Sus scrofa: one gene and its partners. The protein of the gene in region 2 purifies or fractionates together with the protein of the main gene of each other region. This does not show direct contact. Links are inferred from orthologs where the notes say so. Each region holds a gene or a part of one and is shown on either strand. Other genes may lie near its edges.

Region 1 (7,180 bases), on a different chromosome or scaffold from region 2:
TTTAAAAGAAGAATTACATCCACATCACTTCTTGAGAAGGAATAGAGAAAGTTATTACTCAGTATAACCTTCCGACTCTATGAAGACACTACCCCCACCCCCACGAACAAGGCAGGGGCTTGGAGGGTTTCCTCTCGGCCTCTTTCTGGAGGGATAAGCTGCACCAACCATACAGACAGCTGACCCTTCGTCGGTGACCCCGGGGAGACTCAAATAGTAAGAAAAGACCGTCAGTCTCACCTGGGACTTGTCTGCAGTAAGTACAGTTCAAGTCACCACCTCCAGCCCCTGCGCTAGACACAGGCTTTTCAGAAACAAACCTGTCGGACCCACGGAGCAGCTGACTTGTGGCCTTGGCCTCGCTGCCACCATGTCCTGGGGACGGAGCTGACCCCCAGGGGCTAAAGGCGGGCAAAGAGCCAGGCCAGGGCTTAAGCTCCCCTGTAACGACTTCTTCCTTACCCAGAGTGTGAGCCCCCCCAACACCCTCTTCCCAGCTGGGACTCCCACAACCCAGCAGGGAGAAAGGACGGCCCTCCCACCCCGCTGTGCCATCTAGGGTCACGGTCACTTTCCAAGCGGCTCTACAACTTCCACTGTGATTTCAAAGCATAGGCCCCACTACACGTATTCGGTTGCTTTCCCCACTATTTCACAACTATGAAGTATAATATTAAACATTTGGAAGCTACTCTAGGCCCTGAAATCTGAAGCTACTGCAGTGGCAAAACAAGCACCTTGGGATACTGAAATTATTTCATGGACAAATAACAAGAGCCACTTCTAGAAGTACCCTGCAAATCCATCCACTGCCGTCTAAACTTAACCACACTCACTCGGGTGGAGCTGTTAACACTTTAGAGAAACAAACTAAGGTTCCCAAATCAGCAGAGCCGGTGGCAGACCACAAGAGGCACCTGAAGAGCTTCCCTGTTCACAGTCACTTAGCCCAATTAAAGGGCTGCTGATTCGCCCAGGGGCCTTATGTGGACACATGAAAGATTTACGTCAACTTTATTATTTATAGAACAAAATGTCAACTCATTACAAATGTGTTCACAGCTGCCCATTCTCTGAAAGATCATTCTCTTCAGGTCCAGCCCCTCTTCTCTCCACCGCCCCACACACAAGCCCAAGCTCACTTCCCCCAGACATCGGGGAGCAGAAACCAAGGACCCAGGAACGCTGTCCTGCACACAGGAGTTAGTGCTCCACCAAACCGCAGAAATAAACGAGAGACCTTCCACTTAGGGCCTCCGCAACCTAATAAGGAGATAAGAGAAAAATGTACAACACAGCAAGTGTGGTAAGCGCTGCTGAGATTACAGAAAGGCTGTGAAATTAGACGGGGAGGGGGGGGGACGGACGGACAGGCCTCTGATGCTTCAAGGCTACCCGCTCGAGAGACAGCCATGAACTTGCCAGACATCTGTACAAGCGCAGAGGTAAGTATCTCTGCTTTTCTTGATTATCAATCTTGTCATTCTCAGACGACAGACGGCGGTTCTCTTGAAGAATAAACTGCAGGTTACTTTGAGATGTTCAACACTATCTTGGGAGCGCATCAGAATTTCTTCTAGTGAGAACACAGACACACCCAATCTGAACACTACTTCTGGAGCAATCTCATTTGGCTGGGCACCGATGTTTCTGTATCTGCCAACAATACCCACACACCACATGCAACTAACGCACCCCGAGCGAAAGCCCTAGAAAGAGTTTTGGAGTCTACAATTCTTGAGATCATAATCCCACTTACTCCGTATTTGACGTGGCAAATCCCTCTGCGCCTCATTTTCTGAATCTGATTAGAGTATATATTAATATGGTTATGTGAATACAGTTTGTCTTCCTTAACTAGGATGTCAACACCAGGAAAGCAGAGACTGGCTGGACCACTGCTGTCTCCCCAGCGCTCTGCATACCCTCTAGCACTTGGCAGGTGCTAAACGGGGATGAACAGGCAGCAAAGGGTAACACATCACTCCAGAAACTAGACTTTGACAGTGAACCATGACCTGACAATCTGTGCAGCTCAGCAATCCGGCAACATTATCGCTTTCCAAGATGTAATTATCACATTCTTTTTGAAGCAGAATAAGATAATAATTGGCCTACCTAAAAATAATTAATGTACATGACCCCCCGAAATCCCTCTAACATCGTCCCTTTAATATCAAGGCTTTCCTAAAATGTGACTTGTGAGAGAAAAACAAACATCCGTTTGAGGAAACGGGTTCTTCAATGATTCATCCTTCAGTGTGATTTAATACTGTAGACTTTAATCCCACCTGATTTCAGCCATTTTTTATACGGTTCCTCGGCGTGCTGTATAGAATCTGCTTCTAAAGCCTCTCTCCTATCTGATTCACCATTCAGCACTTCTTAAAGGTATGTGCAAGGTCCCACCCCTAATTTTAAACGGAAGATTGTTTGGGGAACCTGCTATAAGCGTTGAAAAGGGTTGGTAAGACGTAAAAAAGAAGGAAAGATATCAGAAGTCTTTGATAACATAATCACTGGGCCCGCGTTGCAAAGGATAACTTTTCTGTGATGACTCATAATTAAGAGCGCTAGATCTAAGTCCTAAGGAGCTAATGAAACCAATCTGCCCCACCGTGTGGAAAGCTGGTCCTTCTGCTCGAGCACCGAGCACCGGATTGAAACGCACCCAGGTTTTGCTTAACTCGGGACTTTTCAACAGGCATTAGCACTTTCCCCTTAAAGTGGATTTCAGAGCTCCGGTGAAACACACACAGCAACCCTCGCCGTCAGCTCCTGCAAAGAAATACTTCCAGCCACACACGGATGCGTCTGGGGCATTAAAGTAAACAAATGACAGGAATGCTGAAGCCGTTTCCAAGGTTTACGTGGATTCCCCACGACAAGACCGCCACCTGGGCTCAGGGTTGCAAATGGGAGCTCGTTCCTCTCAGGAAGGGTAGAAAAGGGGGGGGAATTTCACCAGCACTTATTTAAAGTTTCCACCTTCACACACACCCCTTCCCTCGGCACCGGCGGGGGGCTCGGCCTCGCCCGCGGCGCGGAGAGGAAACCTGCGCCCGACTTCCGTCCCCTCCGGGCCGGGGAGGAGACCCTGCCTTCCTGCCGCAGCCCCCACGCCCGCCGGGGACCCTCCCCGCCCGGCCCGGCCCGGCCCGGCCCGGCCCGGCCCCGCCGGACGGAAAGGCGGGCGCTCCTCGCGTCCTTCCCCTCCGACCCCGGCCGGGCCCGCGGCCCCGCTCGCGCGCCCACAGCCCGGGTGCCTCGCCGCTCCGCCCCGGCGCCGCGGGGACCGGGGGCCGAGCCCCAGGCGCCGACGACCGGCGCCCACCCCGCCGGCCACCCGCGCGCCGCCGTCCCCCGGGGCCGCTCCGCTCGCGTCCGGCCGTCCAACCGCCCCCGCCCGGCCCGCGCCGCCCCCGCCCGGCTGCGGCTCCGCGCTAGGCCCCGCGGGCGGCGAGGGGCGGGGACCAGGGCCGCCGGCGGGGTCCCGGGCCGCCCGCCGCCCCCCCGCCGCACCTACCATGGTACAGATGGAGGCGAATTTGGAGACTGTCATTAGGATTTCCATCCGCCCAGCGCCATCTTCCACCCAATCACAGCGGCGGCGGGCGGGGGAGGAGGAGAGCCTGGCCGCCCGCTCGCACCGCAGCCCGCGGGCGGACCCCGAGCCGCCGCCGACGCACGCACCGAGCCTGCTCAGCCGCCGCTGCCGTCGCCGCCGCCGCCGCCGCCGCCGGCACTCCCCGCCGCGGGCCCTAGCCCCCGCCTGCCGCCCGCCCGCCCCCGGCTCCTCCCCGGCGCAGGGCGCAGCCGCTGCCTCGGGGCCCGCGCCTGCCCGCGAAGCCGCCCGCCGCACACCCCGCCCAGCGCGCTGGGGAGCGGGCTCCGCTGAGGCCCTAATGCCCGGCCTGCCCGGCAGCTGCGCGGCCCCGCGGCGCGCCCCGCCCACCGCCGCGCGCCCCGCCCACTCCCCCTCCGGCCCCGCCCACTCCCCGAGGAAGCCTCTCCAGCCGCCGAGCGCGCGCGAGTCGGGGAGCTCCGGCGTCGGCTCCACCCCGCGCGCGGCCGGGGAGGGGCTCGCGCGGGCCCTGCCTCCCGCCCGCGTCCTCCGGGTCCTAGAGCGGGTGCGCGGGGAGAGGGGCGCCGGGGGCGATGAGGGCCCTCGGCGGCCGTCGTGCAAGGGGCTGCCCCGCAGCCTCTACCGAGGGCCCTGTCCAGACAGAAAACTGAAGGGGCGGTCTCAAAATTCTGGGTGCGGCGGGAGGAAACGTGCTCGTAAACGGTCAAAATAGCGAAGGTCATAGAGAGTCCCAAACAGCTAGAATGTAAGGTGGTTTGTTTCTTTTTACGCACATTGGGTGGATCACCTAGGTCAAAATACCGAAATGTAGCAGAAGACAAGTTCATTACATAAAAATGAAAGCGGCAAAGAAGAAACTATATACGCTTAGTTCTTTGAATTAAGAAAGGTCAATTATGGGGAAGGGGGCAAAGCTGCTTTTCCTGTCTGCTTGTCGGCCATAAATTTAGAATATGGTTATAAATATAGTATCTAAATATACTGGTTCCAAAAGTTGAGTCGCAAAATAGGGAGGATGTCAACCCCGCGCTGATGATGTTCCCAGAGACGAGAAGTCCCGCAAGTTGAGAACAATGTCCTGTGAGAAAGAGAGATGGTGTTAGTCAGGGGGATAGTTCCTATGTGCCGTTTTTATAAAATGCATCATTGCACCCTGTTCTTTGTGCCAGACAGCTAGGCTTTATTTATTCCTATTTGCGAAAGAAGTTCAAGTTAGTAGCATAGCTTTACCAATTATTATATTAGAAAGCTTGTGATTTTTCACTGTTGGAGAACTCGTGGCGAGGGGCTTTTTGGGGTTCCTCGGTTTCACTGGGGCAGAAATTCAGACAGATCTCTAAAATCAGATATGCCTTAACTTGCAGGTTTAAGACATTCAAAAAACAAAACATTCAAACAAAATTTAGATGAAGAATAGATTTCTGGCACATGAATGCTGTTTCCACAGTGATTTCCACTATAAGCTTGCTTGGGGAGGGGGCGATTGCAAATAGAATATACCCAAGTCCCAGCGTAGCTGGCCCACTTCTCTAGGCACCTGCCTCCTTGATAGCCAGGCCCTCCCTCTATGCACTGATACACGCAAGCCAGTGCTAGAATGTGCCAGCACCACGCATTCAGGTACCTGGAGGGCTGGCCTCCCTATTCGCTGCCTAGACTTGGACTGGAGTAGTGCGTTATAGCCACACGGAAAGGCACAGGTGATACCATTGCAGAGCCTAACGGCAAAACTCACAGTGCCTCCTCCTCCCTGCGTAAGTTTGACTAGAAAGGCACAAACATAAAAAGAGAGGCTTCCACGTCCTAGGTGCTGTGCTGGGGTGTTTTTTCTTTCTTTTCTTTTTTTTTTTTTTTTTTTCCGCCATATATAATGCAGTTGAAGATAAGATTTAGCTGAAATGTCATACTTTTGCCCCAGAGCTTAAAAGGGATCATCTGGGGTTAGAATCGTTTTTAACCCGTAGTGGTATCAGCTTCACAAAGAGCTTCATTGTACGTAGGGAAAGATGAGTTTGTGTACAACCGCCTTCTTTGGGGCCTTCCTGAGTGTATAAGCTACAAATTATACTCAGATAAATTTAGGGACCAAGGAAGTAAACAAACTAGGGCCGAGTTTAAAATGGTTTCACTTGAATAATTGTACACAATCCTGTACTGTCCACTTCCTTGCAGGCCACTTCATCTTTTCCGTTATTCTCCCAGTCTCCAGTTAACCACGTGTTGCTGTGTATATTTCTTGCCTATGATGGAGGGGGAAGAAGTGAGGGGAGGGGTTGGAGAGGCATCCCTAAGGACAGGGAGTGCTCATCGAGGACTTAGCCCCATGCCCCAAGCATTTTCTCAAATCCCCATAACAACCCAGGAGAGGAGATGCCATTATCGTCCCCATTTTCTAGATGAGGAAACAGAGCCACGAGGTAAATTTCCCAAGGTTGCACAACTCGTAAGCAATGGAAACATGATTTTAACCTGGCTCCAGAGGCCACATCTGTATCCTTTCTGCTAACCAGCTCAGGTCAAAGTGCTTCATTTTGATTCTAGTAAAATGGGATTGAAAGGCACTGACTCTTTGGGGACCCATGTGCAGGTTTTAGCTACAAAATATACTCAGACAGCTATTTCTTTGTCTTACTTTCCTCCTCTGGAAAAGAAGGGTAATGACTATGCCTACCCCAAAGGGGTGCAATGAGGATAGAACACGGAGACAAGTTTCTAAGACGGCTTGCACGCAACGCAGACAGGACAGCGCTGAATGGACATTCGGTGTCAACATTTTAAAAGTCAGGATGGGCTAGTACAGCTCTCAGGGTGCCGGTTTCCTTCCTCCATACATGTAAAGAGCCTCTGCTATGTGCCAGTCACCTGATTTAAATGCATTTTCTTTCTTTCTTTTTTATTTTATTTTACTTTATTTTATGGCTGCACTCAGGCATATGGATTCTCCCGGGCCAGAAACAGAATCTGAGCGGCAGCTGTGAGCTGTGGCAACACCGGATCCTTTAACCCACTGTGCTGGCCAGAGATTAAATCTGCTCCTCCACAGCAACCTTAGCCACTGCAGTCAGGGTCTTTTTGCCTTTTTTTTTTTTGAGGGCTGCCCCCTCGACATATGGAGGTTTCCAGGCGAGGGTCCAATTGGAGCTGCGGCTGCCGGCCTGTGCCACAGCCACAGCAGTGCAGGATCCAAGCCAAGTCTGTGACCAACACCACAGCTCACCACAATGCCAGATTCTTAACCCACTGAGGGAGGTCAGGGCTCAAACCTGCGTCCTCAAGGATCCTAGTCAGATTTGTTTCCACTGAGCCACGACAGGAACTCCACTGTGGAGTCCCCAGGTTCTTAACCCACTGTGCCCTGGTGGGAACTCCTTAGATGTGTTTTCTTATGTAACCTTCCAGCGCCCTAGGAGCTGGATCGTTCTGTGCTCATTTCACCACATTCGCTGCAGCACTGCCCAGCCAGTGCAGGGCTGGGCCATGCCCAGACCCTCTGACTGGAAAACCCATGGTCTCTCGCCTTTGCTGCCCTGCCCAGTGGCAGGTGAATGAACTAAACTTCTCGGTGCCATGAATTAATATCATCCAGCCGTCCCA
Region 2 (7,099 bases):
GGACTTCCGCGTGCCTCAGGACACAGCGAAAACGATAAATTAATTCAATAAAACAAAAAGTAATAAATATCATTAAATTTTTTTTAAAAAAGCCACTGTAAACCAACTATAATGGAATAAATAAAAATCATTAAATTAAATAAAAGGAAATAAAATAAAATAAAAAGTGAGCGAATAACATCTTCTAACCAGGAGAGGATGGGCTGTCAGCACAGAGACCAAGGAGCATGTATGACAGCTCTCTGTAAAGAGAGAGACCAACCCCGTGTGTGTGTACAAGTGAGCGTGTACATGTTCCAGGCCAGATGTGCATGAGGAGCTGTGCAGAAAACCCAAGGCAGGCTACTTACATTGGTTTCTTCAAGGGTTTCAGTGGAGGGATAGTCACTTTTTCATTGAGATCGTTACGTAGTCTCTGGATTCAGCTTATACTATGTAATTTTTTTCATTTCAGGGCCCCATCTGCCTCATATGGAACTTCCCAGACTAGGGGTCAAATCAGAGCTGCAGCTGCCGGCCTACACCACAGCCACAGCAACACCAGATCCGAGCCACATCTGTGACCCACACGGCAGCTTGCAGCTCCTTAACCTTCTGGCAAGGCCAGGGATGGAACCCAAATCTTCACAGACACTCTGTCAGGTTCTTAACCTGCTGAGCCACAATGGGAGCTCCGCACTGTGTAATTTTTAGGAATGATTTAATAAAAGGAAGAGGTCATCCTCTTCAAACTCACCCAAAGGAAGGCTCTGGGATCTAAGGCTCTGGGATCTTTGGTTTGTGTGTGAGGGGAAACCCTGGGGCACCCCCCTGCATGAGAACAGGTGCTCGCTGGTGTCTTTGGGAGGAGGAGCCTGGCACCTGTATCCGGTCTTCCGGGAGCTCAGTCTTCACAGCCAGCATTTCCCGGGCATACACGTCGGGGTAGTGGGCCTCGCTGAAGGCCTTCTCCAGCTCCTCCAGCTGGTGGGCAGTGAAAACCGTCCTGCAGGGAGGCCCAGATGCTTGAGTGGGCACCTGCCCACCTCCAAGGACACTGTGCTTCCCCCCACCCCCGCCCTCGCCACATTGTCCACAGCCTGGAAGTCCAGCTCATGATAACTGGACCCCCCACCTCTGAATGGTTAGCCTCTGGAAAATCTGCAATTTGATTCAAACAAAACAGTTTTTTAGGTCTTTTTCTTTTCCTTTGGCCATACCCACAGTGGCTGTTTCGGGGGCTGGGGATCAAAACTGTGCCACAGCAGTGACAACATCAGATCCTTAACCCACTCCATCAGCTCACTCTAAGAAAACATTAAAGGCCCACAAAATTGTGTCTGTAAAATGCTACAAAGACAGACCTGCGGCCCCCTGGGAATCACAGAATTACGTTCCCAAGTGGCTACTGTGCCCTTTCCACTGCAGACTAGGAGGCCCTGGGCCTACCCTAACTCGCAGGACCAGACAGTCTCAGATGCTGAGTCCCAAGGACAGGGGCAGGGCAGGTACCTGTGCCTTCGCTTCTTCCTCTTGCCGGGGGTGGGGGGCAACTTCAGGTCACTCCTATCTTCAGGCAGGCTGTCCTCTTCTGTCAGCACAAGAGGAAAGAGGGGACTTTAAAGGCATGCATACTTTTTTTTTTTTTTTTTTTTTTTGTCTTTTTAGGGCCATGCTTGCAGCATATGGAGTTTCCTAGGCTAGGGGTCCAATCGGAGTTGTAGCCTCTGGCCTACGTCAGAGCCACAGCAATGTAGGATCTGAGCCTCGTCTGTGACCTACACCACAGCTCCTGGCCACACCGGATCCTTAACACACTGAACAAGGCCAGGGATCAAACCTGCGTCTCATGGATGCTAGTCGGGTTCGTGAACCACTGAGCCACAATGGAAACTCCAAGGTGCACATATTTTTCACTTTTTTTCTGGATCTTAATTTAAGGGTTGAAGCTATGAACCTGTCCAGATGTGAATACTTAATAACACAAGCCTGCATTTTTCACACTCACCGTATTCCAGGTGCTGTAGCTTAGGTGCATTGCCTATACATCACCATTTTTCTTCATAAATTAAAAGAACTCTCTTTTTACAAAGGAGGAAACCAAGGCAGAGAGAGATTAAGTAACTTACCCAAGATTACATAGGTGGTCAACAGTGAAGCTGGGATTCAAACCCCAGACTGTATGAAGCCAAAGCTACATGAACACCAAATGCATTTCCTGTCCCCTTTAGCTTCCAAATCCATCCACTTCTTTCTGCCTCCATCTCAGCTTCCTCATCTTAACCAACACACCATTTCTCAAAGGGAGGGCCAAGGTTTGTGATATCAGGGCTAGTTCCCTAACCTACTGTTCCAATTCCAAATCTCTGGAAGTGAGGTCCAGAAAGCTCATTCTTGGCTAGGGTGCCCAGGTGATTCATAGATGCACTCAAAGAATCTTAAGAATGTTTTATCTTTTGAAATAAATTATATCAAAAGATTTTTCTAGGTTGAGGGAGTTTCCAACATGGCTCACCAGTAATGAACCTGACTAGTATTCATGAGGATGTGGGTTCAATCCCTGGCCTTGCTCAGAGGGTTAAGGATCTGGCATTGCAGTGAGCTGTGGTGTAGGTCGCAGATGCAGCTCGGATCCTGCATTGCTCAGGCTGGGGCGTAGGCTGGCAGCTGCAGCTGTGATTCAACCCCTAGCCTGACCCACAGATGGATCCTAAAAATAAAAAAAAAATTTTTTAATTAAAAAAAATATCTAGGTTGAAAGGAAGATTAGAAGACCAAACTATTGGCAGATTCATTGTTAAAAAAAATATTTGCTTCAAAACACTAAAAAGTGAATTAATAATGGCAAAAAACAGTAAAATAATGTTTTACTTCTACATCAATTAGTTCACCAGAAACTTGGATTACAATATAGTATTTGTGCTGTCCAGTCTGGACACATAAGTTTTTTGAGATATGAAATGTGGCCCATCTGAATTGAGACCTGCTGTAAATGTGAAATATTTGGTGTATTTTGAAGATCTAATACCCCCAAATAAACTATTAACAATTTTTATATTGATTACATGTATAATAATATTTTCTGTGTATTGAATTAAATAAAATACAGTATTTAGGTTTGTTTCACCTATTTATTTCTCCTTTTCCAGGTAGGTTTGAGAAATTTTCATTACTCTTGAAGTCACATGTTTCTACTGGACAGTGTTGGTCTTGATCTTGCAGAAATGCCCTCATAGACTAGGATGTGGTGGCATTTTGCCTTCAGCTTTGTCAGTATTCACAGAGAAAGAACCCACCCTATGAAGGTGGTCTCTGCATTTCTAGTGAAACAACTACTAGAGGGCTTCATTTTATCTTACCTAGAGACTCATGAAATAAAGTCCATTCATTTTTTACCTTTATTTTTATTTTTACCTTCTCATCTGGGGTACATGAAAGTTCCCAGGCTAGGGCTTGTATCATAGCCGCCGCAACATCAGATCCCAGCAGCACCTGAGACCTACACTGAAGCTTGTGGCAGAGCGCTGGATTCTTAACCCACTGAGTGAGGCCAGGGATGGAACCCCCATTCTCACAGAGACAACCATCGGTTTTTAACCCACTGAAGAGACAGCAGGAACTCTCATAACGTGAAAGCTGGCCTGCCTCTGATCCAATCTGCTTCCTCTAGACATCGATAGAGAGCCATGTAAACCTGCCTTGGCTGAGGGATGCTCAGCTCTGGGGTCTATACAAAGTTTATGTGCGCCCACCTTTTCGCTGGTAATTCTTAGTTCTCTCCCCCCTCCCGCCCCAAATCTCTCTATTTCATGGCCGTGTCTTTATAGAGTTCCACTGCTCCCTTCTCTTCTCCACTATCCTCCCTGACTTCTCTGAGGAGCCCGGCACTGCTGCCATAGACCGAGGAGCTTGTTTCTCCTGAGCCAGAGGGGCAGAGAAGCGCGGGACCCCCACGCCTATTTCAACTCTAGGAGGACAGTTCCAGGCCTCCACCTCGTGCTCTTCAAAGGCCAGTCAATGAGTCCATCAATTCAGGGAATGCTCAAGCGCTGGTTGGTACTGGGTTCGGTGTGCTGACAAACCAGGCGGGCCCAGGCCTCCCAACCTCCGCTGTTCCCTGATCCTCGCGGGGAACACTCCCCCACCCCCAAGACCCCAGGGCAGATTCGCACCGGGTTGTAGGGGTGTGTGCAGGGCGGCGGCGACCAGGCCCAGAGGAGAGGCAGGGATGTGGGCAAAGCCAAGGGCAGAGGGTGCTCCCTGGCGGGGCCACTCTGGGGTCCCGACTTCCCTGGATCTGGGGAGATGAGGTGGGGCTCGGCGGGGTGCTGAGTGTCACCCTGCGCACCACGCCGAGGCAAGGGGCAGGAGCGGCACGGACTGGCCTCATTACCGGACGTCGAGACGCTCTCGCTGCGCTTCTGACGGATGCTCGTGGGCGGTGAGCGGCCGAGGACGTGCGGGGCGGGGGGCTCAGGCCCCTCGGGCGGCAGGAACGGCACATCGGCTAGAAGCAGGCAGGGCGCCCCGGCAGCCGCAGGGGGCTGCGCACCGAAGCTGCAGAGGAGGCCGAATCCCAGCGGGAGGGCCCCGCGCGCCAAGCCAGAGTCCCCGAGCCCTGGACCGGCGCAGGGGGCAGCCGCGGGGCCTTCGCAGCAGGATCCCGGCCCAGGGCCTGCAGGTGCAGGCAGCTCGGCCTCCAGGCCCAGCAAGTCAGTGATGGCGAAGCCCCGGGGGCGCGAGCCAGTGGGCGGGCCTCCGGGCACCAGCGCCCTGCTCCTGGCACACCCGTCGGAAAGCGCGTCCCGGCCAGTCATGGCTTACTGGGCGGCGGGGCTGAACTCTCTCGGTCACCTTTGCGGAGGGGGCGCAGTTCTGAGGACGCTTTATACAGTCAGGAGCCAGGAGGGCTCCAATCAGCGGGGTGCGGGCGCGTCACGCCTCGGACCCCGCGAGATGGGGACGCCACCAGTTCCCCTCCCTTCGGTCGCCGCCCTCCCAGCTGCAGTCCCGTCAATCGGCCCCCATCCCTCTCCCCTCTCCTTTCCAATTGTCCCTCTGCCCACCCTGTTCTTGGTGGGAGGAAAATAGAGAGGGGAGGACCGGCTCTCTGGCCATCTCTCTAAGAGCCGCAGGTTCCAGATCCCGGCGTGGTCTTCTCTCCCCTTCTCGGCTCTCGGGTGGAGGCCCCTGCTTGCAGCTGCCCTGGAGCCTCCCTGCCCCCATCCAGTCACTCGTTAAGACCTAGGGCCTATTCCCTGCCGCTCTTTGACTACTATCACTAAGACCCCCGCCAGCCCTCCAACACTACCGTCACCGCGGACAAGACCTTCCTCGAAATTCCCAAGGGGAAAGGAGTGGAAAACGTTTATTTAATCAGTGCCCACTCCACCTCCAGCCATTGGCGGAGGCTGGCCATCGGCGCCATCGGGCCATCAGCTTGTCGCAAAATTCACTGGAGCTGGAGAAGGAATAGGAAACAGAGGCTGGGGCAGATGGACCCCGCCGGAACTGCGGGGAAGGGCGCCACGTTTAGCAAACTAAATTCCAGGAGGTGCAGTGAAATCACAATTTCAGATGAAGTCACTTTAGAAATATGTATAAGAACGTATCTGTATTTTATCTGGCGACTCCTAAATGGGGAGAGTAAATTGGAAAATTGGGCCTGTGTACTGAGACCCATCCCACTTCACGGAGGCTAACAAATTATTGTTTCATGATTATTCAAAGAAAGCCTGATTTTCATGTGAAATGCCCGTGTTTGTTCAAGATGCAAAACGAAGCACGTGGGTAAAATTCTCCTGGCTCACACGCCAAAAAGTTGAGCCCACCCAACCAGATTCGCTGGGAGCCCTGAGCCCACCCTTCTCAAACAAGGAAGGAGGGAAGCAAAACCTGTCATTCCCACCCTGAGGGCGAGCAGCCGGCGGCCGCCCAGCGAGGGACGCAGCAGCTCTCCCAGCGCCCCGCGGACGCCTCTCGGGTCTCTGCGCGCCTCCGAGGCCGAGGGGAAACCCGAGCAAAGGGGATCTCCCGCTGGCCACGCCTGGGGCTGGATCCTCTGCAAACCCAAGGATTAAACCAGGGGCTTCCGATAAAGATAATTACAAGAGGCTGCGCATTAACTTTTCATTATTAAAAGAAGACCCAAATCTCTCCTCGCAAGCTGTTCCCTGGATTAACAAAACAATAACTTTCCTTTGGGATAATTGTCCTTTGAGTCGCTCCGGGTCGGGGGCAGCTTTAGAAGCCGGCGTCCTTTTTGGCTCCGCCAGGAATTTCTCCCCAAATTTATCTCTGGGTTTAGGGAAAGGTGTTGAGTGTACAGAACCCAGCCAAAATGCTCTGGCTCTTGGCCCGGCAAAGCAGTAGTTTGTGAATCAGAATTTGGGGCCGCAGTTAAGGATGACATTTAAGATGCACATATTTACAGACTGTGCTGGGGAGCTGGTGGGACAAACACACCTAAAGGTGGCCCCGCCCGGGGCATTGGCAGGATCGGGTCTCAGAGGCAGATGTGTGCTCGCGGTGTCTGCTGCTAGGACAGCCGAAGGCTCCCCCTCGCCTGGGCCCAGGATTCCAAGTCTCTGAACACAGCCTCTGCCAGGGGAGGCCTCGAGTAGATGGCCATAGACCCAGAGGTACCGAAAGGCCATCCAGGAGGAGCCCAACTTCAGCCACCCCACATGGTGACCACCACTCAGGGCCAACAGCACACGGGTTTCCAACTCCTTCGGAAGTATATTACAAAACCCATTTTGCAGATGAGAGAAAATGAGGTGTATTAACCCGCTCGCATCTAATATGAGAGAAAAACCGGGAGAGCGAAGCAGAAAGAGACCCGAGGGAGACCCAGGGTTGGGGCTGTAATGGGACCTTGCAATTTCTGGACAGGAGAGTCACTGCCGCCTCCTCCGGCCCCACTTGGAGGAAGGAGCCCTAGGGAGGGACCAGAGTGTGGGGAGAACGGAACTTTGGGAGCTTTCTTTTCCGCGGCAAGGCAGCGCTGGGAGTGCGGCGCTGGAGGGCACTCACTTCCCCCACCCACGTTAATCCGCACCCCACTCCCACCCCCAGCTGCCGCGGAGGATCGCGGGTCCACTCGCGCCCCCACCCCAGT
Region 3 (6,891 bases), on a different chromosome or scaffold from region 2:
GCGTATGCTGCAGCTTGCGGCAATGCTGGATCCTTAACCCACTAAGCAAGGCCAGGAATTGAACCTGAATCCTCATGGATACCAGTGGGGTTTCTAACCTGCTGAGCCACACAGGAACTCTTCCAACTAGTTCTTAAAGAACCAGCGGTGGGGGAGTTCCCATTGTGGCACAGTGGTTAACGAATTTGACTAGGAATCATGAAGTTGCAGGTTCGATCCCCGGCCTTAGCTCAGTGGGTTAACGATCCGGCGTTGCCGTGAGCTGTGGTGTAGGTTGCAGACGCAGCTTGGATCCCGGGTTGCTGTGCCTCTGGCATAGGCTGGTGGCTATAGCTCTGATTCGACCCCTAGCCTGGGAACCTCCATATGCCGCGAGAGTGGCTCTAGAAAACACAAAAAGACAAAAAAAAAAAAAAAAAAAAGGAACCAGCAGTAGGAATTCTTCCCTGGTGGCCTAGCAGTAAAGGATTCAGAGTTGTCACTGCTGTGGCTTGGGTTCACTGTCTGGCCCTGGGAAAGTCTACTGATGAGCGCGTGGCCAAAGCAGGAAAAAAAAAAAAAAAGTATGAGCTGTGAAGAGGCAAGGAGAGGAAGGTCTCTTCAATCAAGAGAAAGAGCTAACGGTGATGGCAGAACAGTTTGGCATGGAGGATTACGGAATACCTAAGAATGGGCTAGGAAGTGCTTGGATATTTAAAGTTATTGAGAGTTTTGGGGCAAAAGAATATAATGTCTAAAGCACTATTTTAAGGAGATTAATTTGGCACTTGCTTGTAGGAGGAAAGTTGAGAGGAAAAAGTGAAATTAAGGAAATATTTATGAAGCCATTATACCATTCAACTTTGAAGATATGGAAGGGAATTGATAAGCTTCAAAGACTGATGAATTTGAGGCACAAATCCATTTAGAAATGCCTGGTTTGAAACTAAATATCAGAAATGAACTTTAGGTCATGGCCAGCTGTATATATCTGGGTAGTGAATACTGAATCCTTGAGTATGTGTTGGGGAGGAAAGACAACAAGAGAAAAATGTGTTAAGAATAGAGATTATCCAAAGGCTTTGGATGGGACAAGGAGAGCAGCTTATTATTGTGTTCACAAGAAAATGTTAAATTTATATAGAATAAGCCACAGGAGTTCTCTTATGGTCAGCCAGTTAAGGACACTGCTGTGGCTCTGGCTTTAACTATGGATTGGGTTTGATCTCTGGCCTGGGAACTTTGACATACTGTGGGCATGGCCAAAAAACCCTATCAAAACCAAAAAACAAAACCTGAGTAGAAGCCTAAGCTATACAGGTATTATGGTTAATTGAAGGCTGATGTAATTTTTATGTTTTCATTTTTGCTTGCTGAGTTTTTTTTTCTTCCTTCAAAAAGTATTATTGCACGTTTCCCCCCTTGATAACTAGGGAACACAGCTGAATTGTTTTTAGGTGTTTCCGAATGTGACTATCCCTCAAGGAAGGTAATACACACTTTCAATGTAAAACAACACAGTTATAAGAAATGCGGATAAATCTATGGTGACCTCAGAATACATTCCGGCATTTTATAAGACTGCTGATACCTGTTTGACTTTTAGCAGAAGCCAGACAACATGAAAACAACTGTAACAAAACATCTGAGGCATTTTAGGTCTCATTAAGGGGAGGTGACTCTAGTGTTCTGACAACATGGACAGAGGACACAGGGCGTTGGTGTCAAATGCATTATTACATCACTGGTACAGTTGCCACTGGCACCTGCTTGCTTTGCAAGACAGGATGTTTATGATTTAGACGCCTCTTACCTGCGAACTTACCCCCCTCCACTTCTTCTGTGATCCTCCAGGTGTGATGTGAACACAAAGGGATGGATCACTCTTCGTGTAACAAATGCTGGCTCCCCCACCCACACCCCCACATTCTATCATTAATGTTTCTGTCACTTTAGGAACTTTCTCATTCCAGGGCAACATGCCAAGAAGCCTGGGCACAAAAGGGTGATTGTTTAATCTGCAACACGTGTGCCTGTCCTTACATGTCTAGACCGAGTACAGAACAGCCACACAACTACGCCTGGCAAACAATTTCGCAGATTCCGCTTAAGCCTTAAAAAAAAAATCAACAGCCTCCAATTTTTCTAAGAGCTCCTGATAAACTATTGAGTAAGAGAAGTTGAATTCTGCTTAATTTAGATCCTAGTTCCCAAAGCCATTTCCCTCCTCCTTTCTCTAAACACCTGGTGGAGACAAACTTAAAACAGACGTGCCATCACTACCTGCTTTCCTTAAATTAGCCAAGGCTCACCCCAGAGAGGTATTCAGATATTTGACTTGCTAACAACACAGGTGCTGGGCAGGTACACTCCCTTCCCCGCCGCCTCGCCTGAAAAAACGAATGATGAAGCGGAAAACAGGGTCTTCGGTACCTTCTCGGAAACGAACTCAGGATGCACAGGTGCAGAGGGGCTTCCTGACCCAGGCGTCCGGACGGTCCAGCCGGGGGGCCGAGGGGAGGCCCCAGAAGAAGGGGGCTCTCCCGCACCCTCGCGTGGGTAGAACACGGGGGCTTCCGAGCTCTGTTCACGGTACCCCATGTGCCGACCCCGACTTGGGCGGCGGCCGAGGCGGCGCTCTCCTCCGCCCCTGGGGGTCCCAGGACTGCAAGTCAGGACCGGGGCAGCTGAGCAGCCCACGCGAGCTCACGTCAGCGCCTCCCGCAGGCCAGCTCGGGGGCGGCGGGGGCGGTGGAACGGCCGGCCCGCCCCCAGACCCCCAACCGCAGCCCCGCCCCGAGGCCGCGCCCGGGGGCGGAGCCTGCGCACGCCCAGCCGCGTGGAGCGCGCCAGGTGAGCACGCCTGCGCAGTCGGGCCGTAAACAAGCCCGTCCCCTTCTCCTCGCCGGCCTCCGCGGGGCCGGCTCGCAGGTGGGAGGGGCCAGGAGAAAGGGGCGGGGGGAGCGCGGGAGCCCGAGACGGCGCCTGCGCGGTGGGCGTGATCCGGGCACTTAGGGCAGGATGAACGCTGCTTTCCAAGATGGCGACGGAGGGAGGAGGGAAGGAGATGAACGAGATTAAGACCCAATTCACCACCCGGGAAGGTCTGTACAAGCTGCTGCCGCACTCGGAGTACAGCCGGCCCAACCGGGTGCCCTTCAGCTCGCAGGGATCCAACCCTGTCCGCGTCTCCTTCGTAAACCTCAACGACCAGTCTGGCAACGGCGACCGCCTCTGCTTCAATGTGGGCCGGGAGCTCTACTTCTATATCTACAAGGGGGTCCGCAAGGTACCGACCCGGGCGTCACCGGGGCTCGCCAGCGGCGTGGGCCGAGGCCGGGAGCAGGGCGGTGACAGCGGGGCCAGGGTGACCGGGGGGGTGGCCGTCGCTCTTACTTTTGAGTGGGCCGGTAACTCCACTGGAGTGCGCCTGAGGAAGGGGCTTCGGGAGTGAGGAGGGCGGCGGCGGGGTGTCGGACGGGTGGGGGCGGTGGAAAGGGACCGCGGGGCGCGGGGTTCCGGCCGGGAGGCCTCAGAAGGCGCCGGCTGCCTCCCCTCCGGCAGGGTCTGTCCGTCTCTGACACGGCCAGGGAGCGGGCCTGCGGGTCCCCGGAAGAGGTGGGGTGGCCGTCTAGTCTGTTGAGACCGCCTCGCCTCCTGGGAGGGCTGAGAGTCTCGCTCCGGGTTAGGGAACCGGGGCGCGGGGCGGCCTGGGAAGACCTGTAAGGCGGAACCGGGGCTGGGAAGCGGAGCACTTGAGATAGGTCAGAAAGGACCTGCTCGGCACGAAGGGCTACTCCACCTGCTGCCGCACTGACACTTCCTGGGAGCCCCTCCTTCTGATGGTAACACTGTGTCCAGAAACATCCGTGGGAAGACAGCTGTCACTGCTTCCGCGGAGGGAACCTTCTCCTGAGAGGGTGTCACAGGGTCGTGTCCCTTAGAGCATGGGACAGGCTGAGTGCTAGAGTTAGGTGGCAACGACGTTTGCGGTGAACTACGCTGGTTCGCAGGGGTTCTGTGCGAGCGTGCCCAGATCAGTCTTGTCCAACAAGTCAGGCTGTGTCCCAAACAGGGAGGGCTCTGCCTTAAAAGCTGCTTTACTAGAACCATTCTTCTTGGCGGGCGTTTTAACAGTAATTCTGTCAAGCATGTAATCATCCTTTAAACATGTCTCTTCAAAAGGGGCAACTTATTAGAGCTTTTCTTTCCCTGGCTACATAACTTCGTTCTCATTGACAGCTGCTTCCTTTTGAGATGTGCGGTCTTTGAGTTGACTCTTAGAAGAGTGAGGAAATTAGTGTACCTCCCAGCACCTGGGCGTGGGAAACAGTGATAATCGATTGACTGATACATGTTCGATTAGTGTGAGAGTAAATTGTGTATATTGAAGGGTGAACTTGTTGGGGATTTAGTTTTTGCTGGATTCCAAGAGCTAGGGCTGTGACCGTGGTATCTAGATGTATGTAACACGTTGTCTCATTTGTTCTGGGTGAATCTTTTTGGTAGTGTTTATGGTAAGTGTACGGCTGCGTTTGAGGTATCTTGTTGTTGCAGATTACTGAAAGTAAATTGCGGCTTTATTTTTTCTCCTTCGGAATTGGAGAAGTGAAGTAGTTAGTAGTCAAGGAGCTGAAGTTTTAGTCCTACTCTCAACTCTGTCACTGACTTGTTGGGTGACCTTGGACGAGTTATTTAACCTCTATCTGCAGCTCTTTCAAAAGTGAATATTGCAGTACACACCTTGTGATTTATGGTGTAATGATTGTGATGAACTTTAAAGCCCCGCAACACTCAGTGGTTGTAAAGTATGGTTAAAATAAGCATGAAAAGCAACTGTCAAACAGGAGCTCCTGTCTTGACATTGCTACGAGAACTGAAAAGATCAGCTTTTTCTCTGGAAATAAGTTTAAAATTTTAAGTTACTAAAATTGAATTACATAAAATTTAAAAGTACATAAAACCTAAATATGTGAACAATTAATTAGTGGTAGCAGTTACCTTTTTAAATAAAAGTTTTCTTGGAGTTCCTGTCGTGGCACAGTGGTAAACGAATCTGACTAGGAACCATGAGGTGGCGGGTTCGATCCCTGGCCTCGCTCAGTGGGTTAAGGATCCGGCGTTGCTATGAGCTGTGGTGTGGGTCGCAGACACGGCTCGGATCCCGAGTTGCTGTGGCTGTGGCTACAGCTCTGATTCAGCCACTAGCGTGGGAACCTCCCTATGCCGAGGGTGCGGCCCTATAAAGAGAAAAACTGTTTTTTCATTTTCCATGAATGCGTTTGCGTTTATTTTTTGTTATTTCTGACTGTATGTGATTGTTTTTGTGATTCTATTTTCTGATTTTTTTTTTTTTTTTTGGGTCTTTTTGCCTTTTCTAGGGCTGCTCCCGCCGCATATGGAGGTTCCCAGGCGAGGGGTCGAATCAGAGCTATAGCTGCCGGCCTACACCACAGCCACAGCAATGTGGGATCCGAGCCACATCTGCAACCTACACCACAGCTCACGGCAACACCAGATCCTTAACCCACTGAGCAAGGCCAGGGATCGAACCCACAACCTTGTGGTTCCTAGTTGGATTCGTTAACCACTGTGCCACGATGGGAACAACTATTTTCTGATTTTAAAATAGAGCAGATAATTTTCATTAGTCAAAACCCCAAATTTGGGAATCCTGCTGTGCAGCAGAAACAAATCCGACCGGTATCCATGAGGTTGTGAGTTCGATCCCTGGCCTTGCTGTCAGCTGTGGTGTAGGTTGCAGATGCAGCTGAGATCTGGTGTTGCTGAGGCTGTGGCGCAGGCCAGCAGCTATAGCTTTGATTCAACCCCTACCCTGGGAACTTCATATGCCATGGGTGTGGCCCTTAAAAAGCAGTCCCCTCCCTAGTCCCCCCCATTTTACTTTTTGTGGTTAGGAGTTACAAATCTGTTTTTGACACTTGGTCATTGTGTCTCTTTTAAAAAATTTTTTCTTCAGGGCATGTAAAGTTTTACAGCAATTAATTGGATCGTTCAGAATATTCAGAAACTTTAATTTGGATGAATACATTCAACTCAAATCTGCATGTGAAGTGAGTGGAAACTAGGTTTTTAAATTTTTTTTATTGCAGTATAGTTGATTTATAGTATGATTAGTTTCAAGTATACAGCCTAGTGATTTAGTATTTTTAGATGATCTTGATGAAAAGTGTGAGGTAATGGGTATAATTCCCTGTGCTATACAATATATCCTTGTTGCTTATCTATTTTATATGTAGTAGTTTGTATCGCTTAATCCCATACCCCTAATTTGCACTCCCCTCTTGGTAACCACTGGTTTGTTTTCTGTATCTGTGGGTCTGTTTCTGTTTTGCTTATACATTCATTTGTATTATTTTTTATTCCTCAAGTGATATCATATAGTATTTGTCTTTCTCTGTCTGACTTATTTTACTAAGCTTAATATTCCCTAGGTCCATCCACACTGCTGTAAATGGAAACTGGGTCTTTCAAAAAACTTCAGTCATGAACTATGTGCTGTCATTCCTGAAAGCAGGTGTGCAGGCATGGGGGAGTGGAGTGGACGAGGAGGTAGGCTAAGGTCCACGCTAAGGAGAGTAATCTTGACCCCTGTGAGACACAGGTCAGTCTTTAGAGCTAGAGGCACCTTAGGGGTCATGGAGCCTCAGCCCCTCAGAGAAGGCCAAGGTGTACAATCCTGTGATACAGTTTTTTCTTCACGTAGAGAATTCATGGTAAAGAAACGCAACTGAATCTAAAGAACTGTCTTCTTCTTCTTCTTCTTTTTTTTTTTAATGGCTGCACCCACGGCATATGGAAGTTTCTGGGCCAGGGATTGAATCTGAACCTACGCCGCAGCTGTAGCAATGCTGGATCCTTTAATCCCCTGAGTTAGGCTAGGAATTGAAT

Evidence for each region.
Region 1: the proteins of VSX1 (region 2) and USP12 purify together in Homo sapiens (affinity purification with mass spectrometry; 3 studies listed by BioGRID and IntAct, counting the BioPlex papers as one, with this or other methods). This does not show direct contact. The link is inferred for Sus scrofa from reciprocal best matches to the Homo sapiens genes VSX1 and USP12.
Region 3: the proteins of VSX1 (region 2) and WDR20 purify together in Homo sapiens (affinity purification with mass spectrometry; 3 studies listed by BioGRID and IntAct, with this or other methods). This does not show direct contact. The link is inferred for Sus scrofa from reciprocal best matches to the Homo sapiens genes VSX1 and WDR20.

The regions. Positions count from the first base shown.
Region 1 is NC_010453.5:4,685,854-4,693,033, forward strand, and holds the start of USP12 (ubiquitin carboxyl-terminal hydrolase 12), read right to left. Parts: upstream 3,939-7,180; 5' UTR 3,575-3,938; coding exon 3,527-3,574; intron 1-3,526. UniProt on the Homo sapiens protein: Deubiquitinating enzyme that plays various roles in the regulation of the immune response and inflammation.
Region 2 is NC_010459.5:30,851,219-30,858,317, forward strand, and holds the start of VSX1 (visual system homeobox 1), read right to left. Parts: upstream 4,797-7,099; coding exon 4,373-4,796; intron 1,571-4,372; coding exon 1,492-1,570; intron 986-1,491; coding exon 862-985; intron 1-861. UniProt on the Homo sapiens protein: Binds to the 37-bp core of the locus control region (LCR) of the red/green visual pigment gene cluster. May regulate the activity of the LCR and the cone opsin genes at earlier stages of development. Dispensable in early retinal development.
Region 3 is NW_018084979.1:975,450-982,340, forward strand, and holds the start of WDR20 (WD repeat-containing protein 20), read left to right. Parts: upstream 1-2,953; 5' UTR 2,954-3,019; coding exon 3,020-3,268; intron 3,269-6,891. UniProt on the Homo sapiens protein: Regulator of deubiquitinating complexes. Activates deubiquitinating activity of complexes containing USP12. Anchors at the base of the ubiquitin-contacting loop of USP12 and remotely modulates the catalytic center of the enzyme.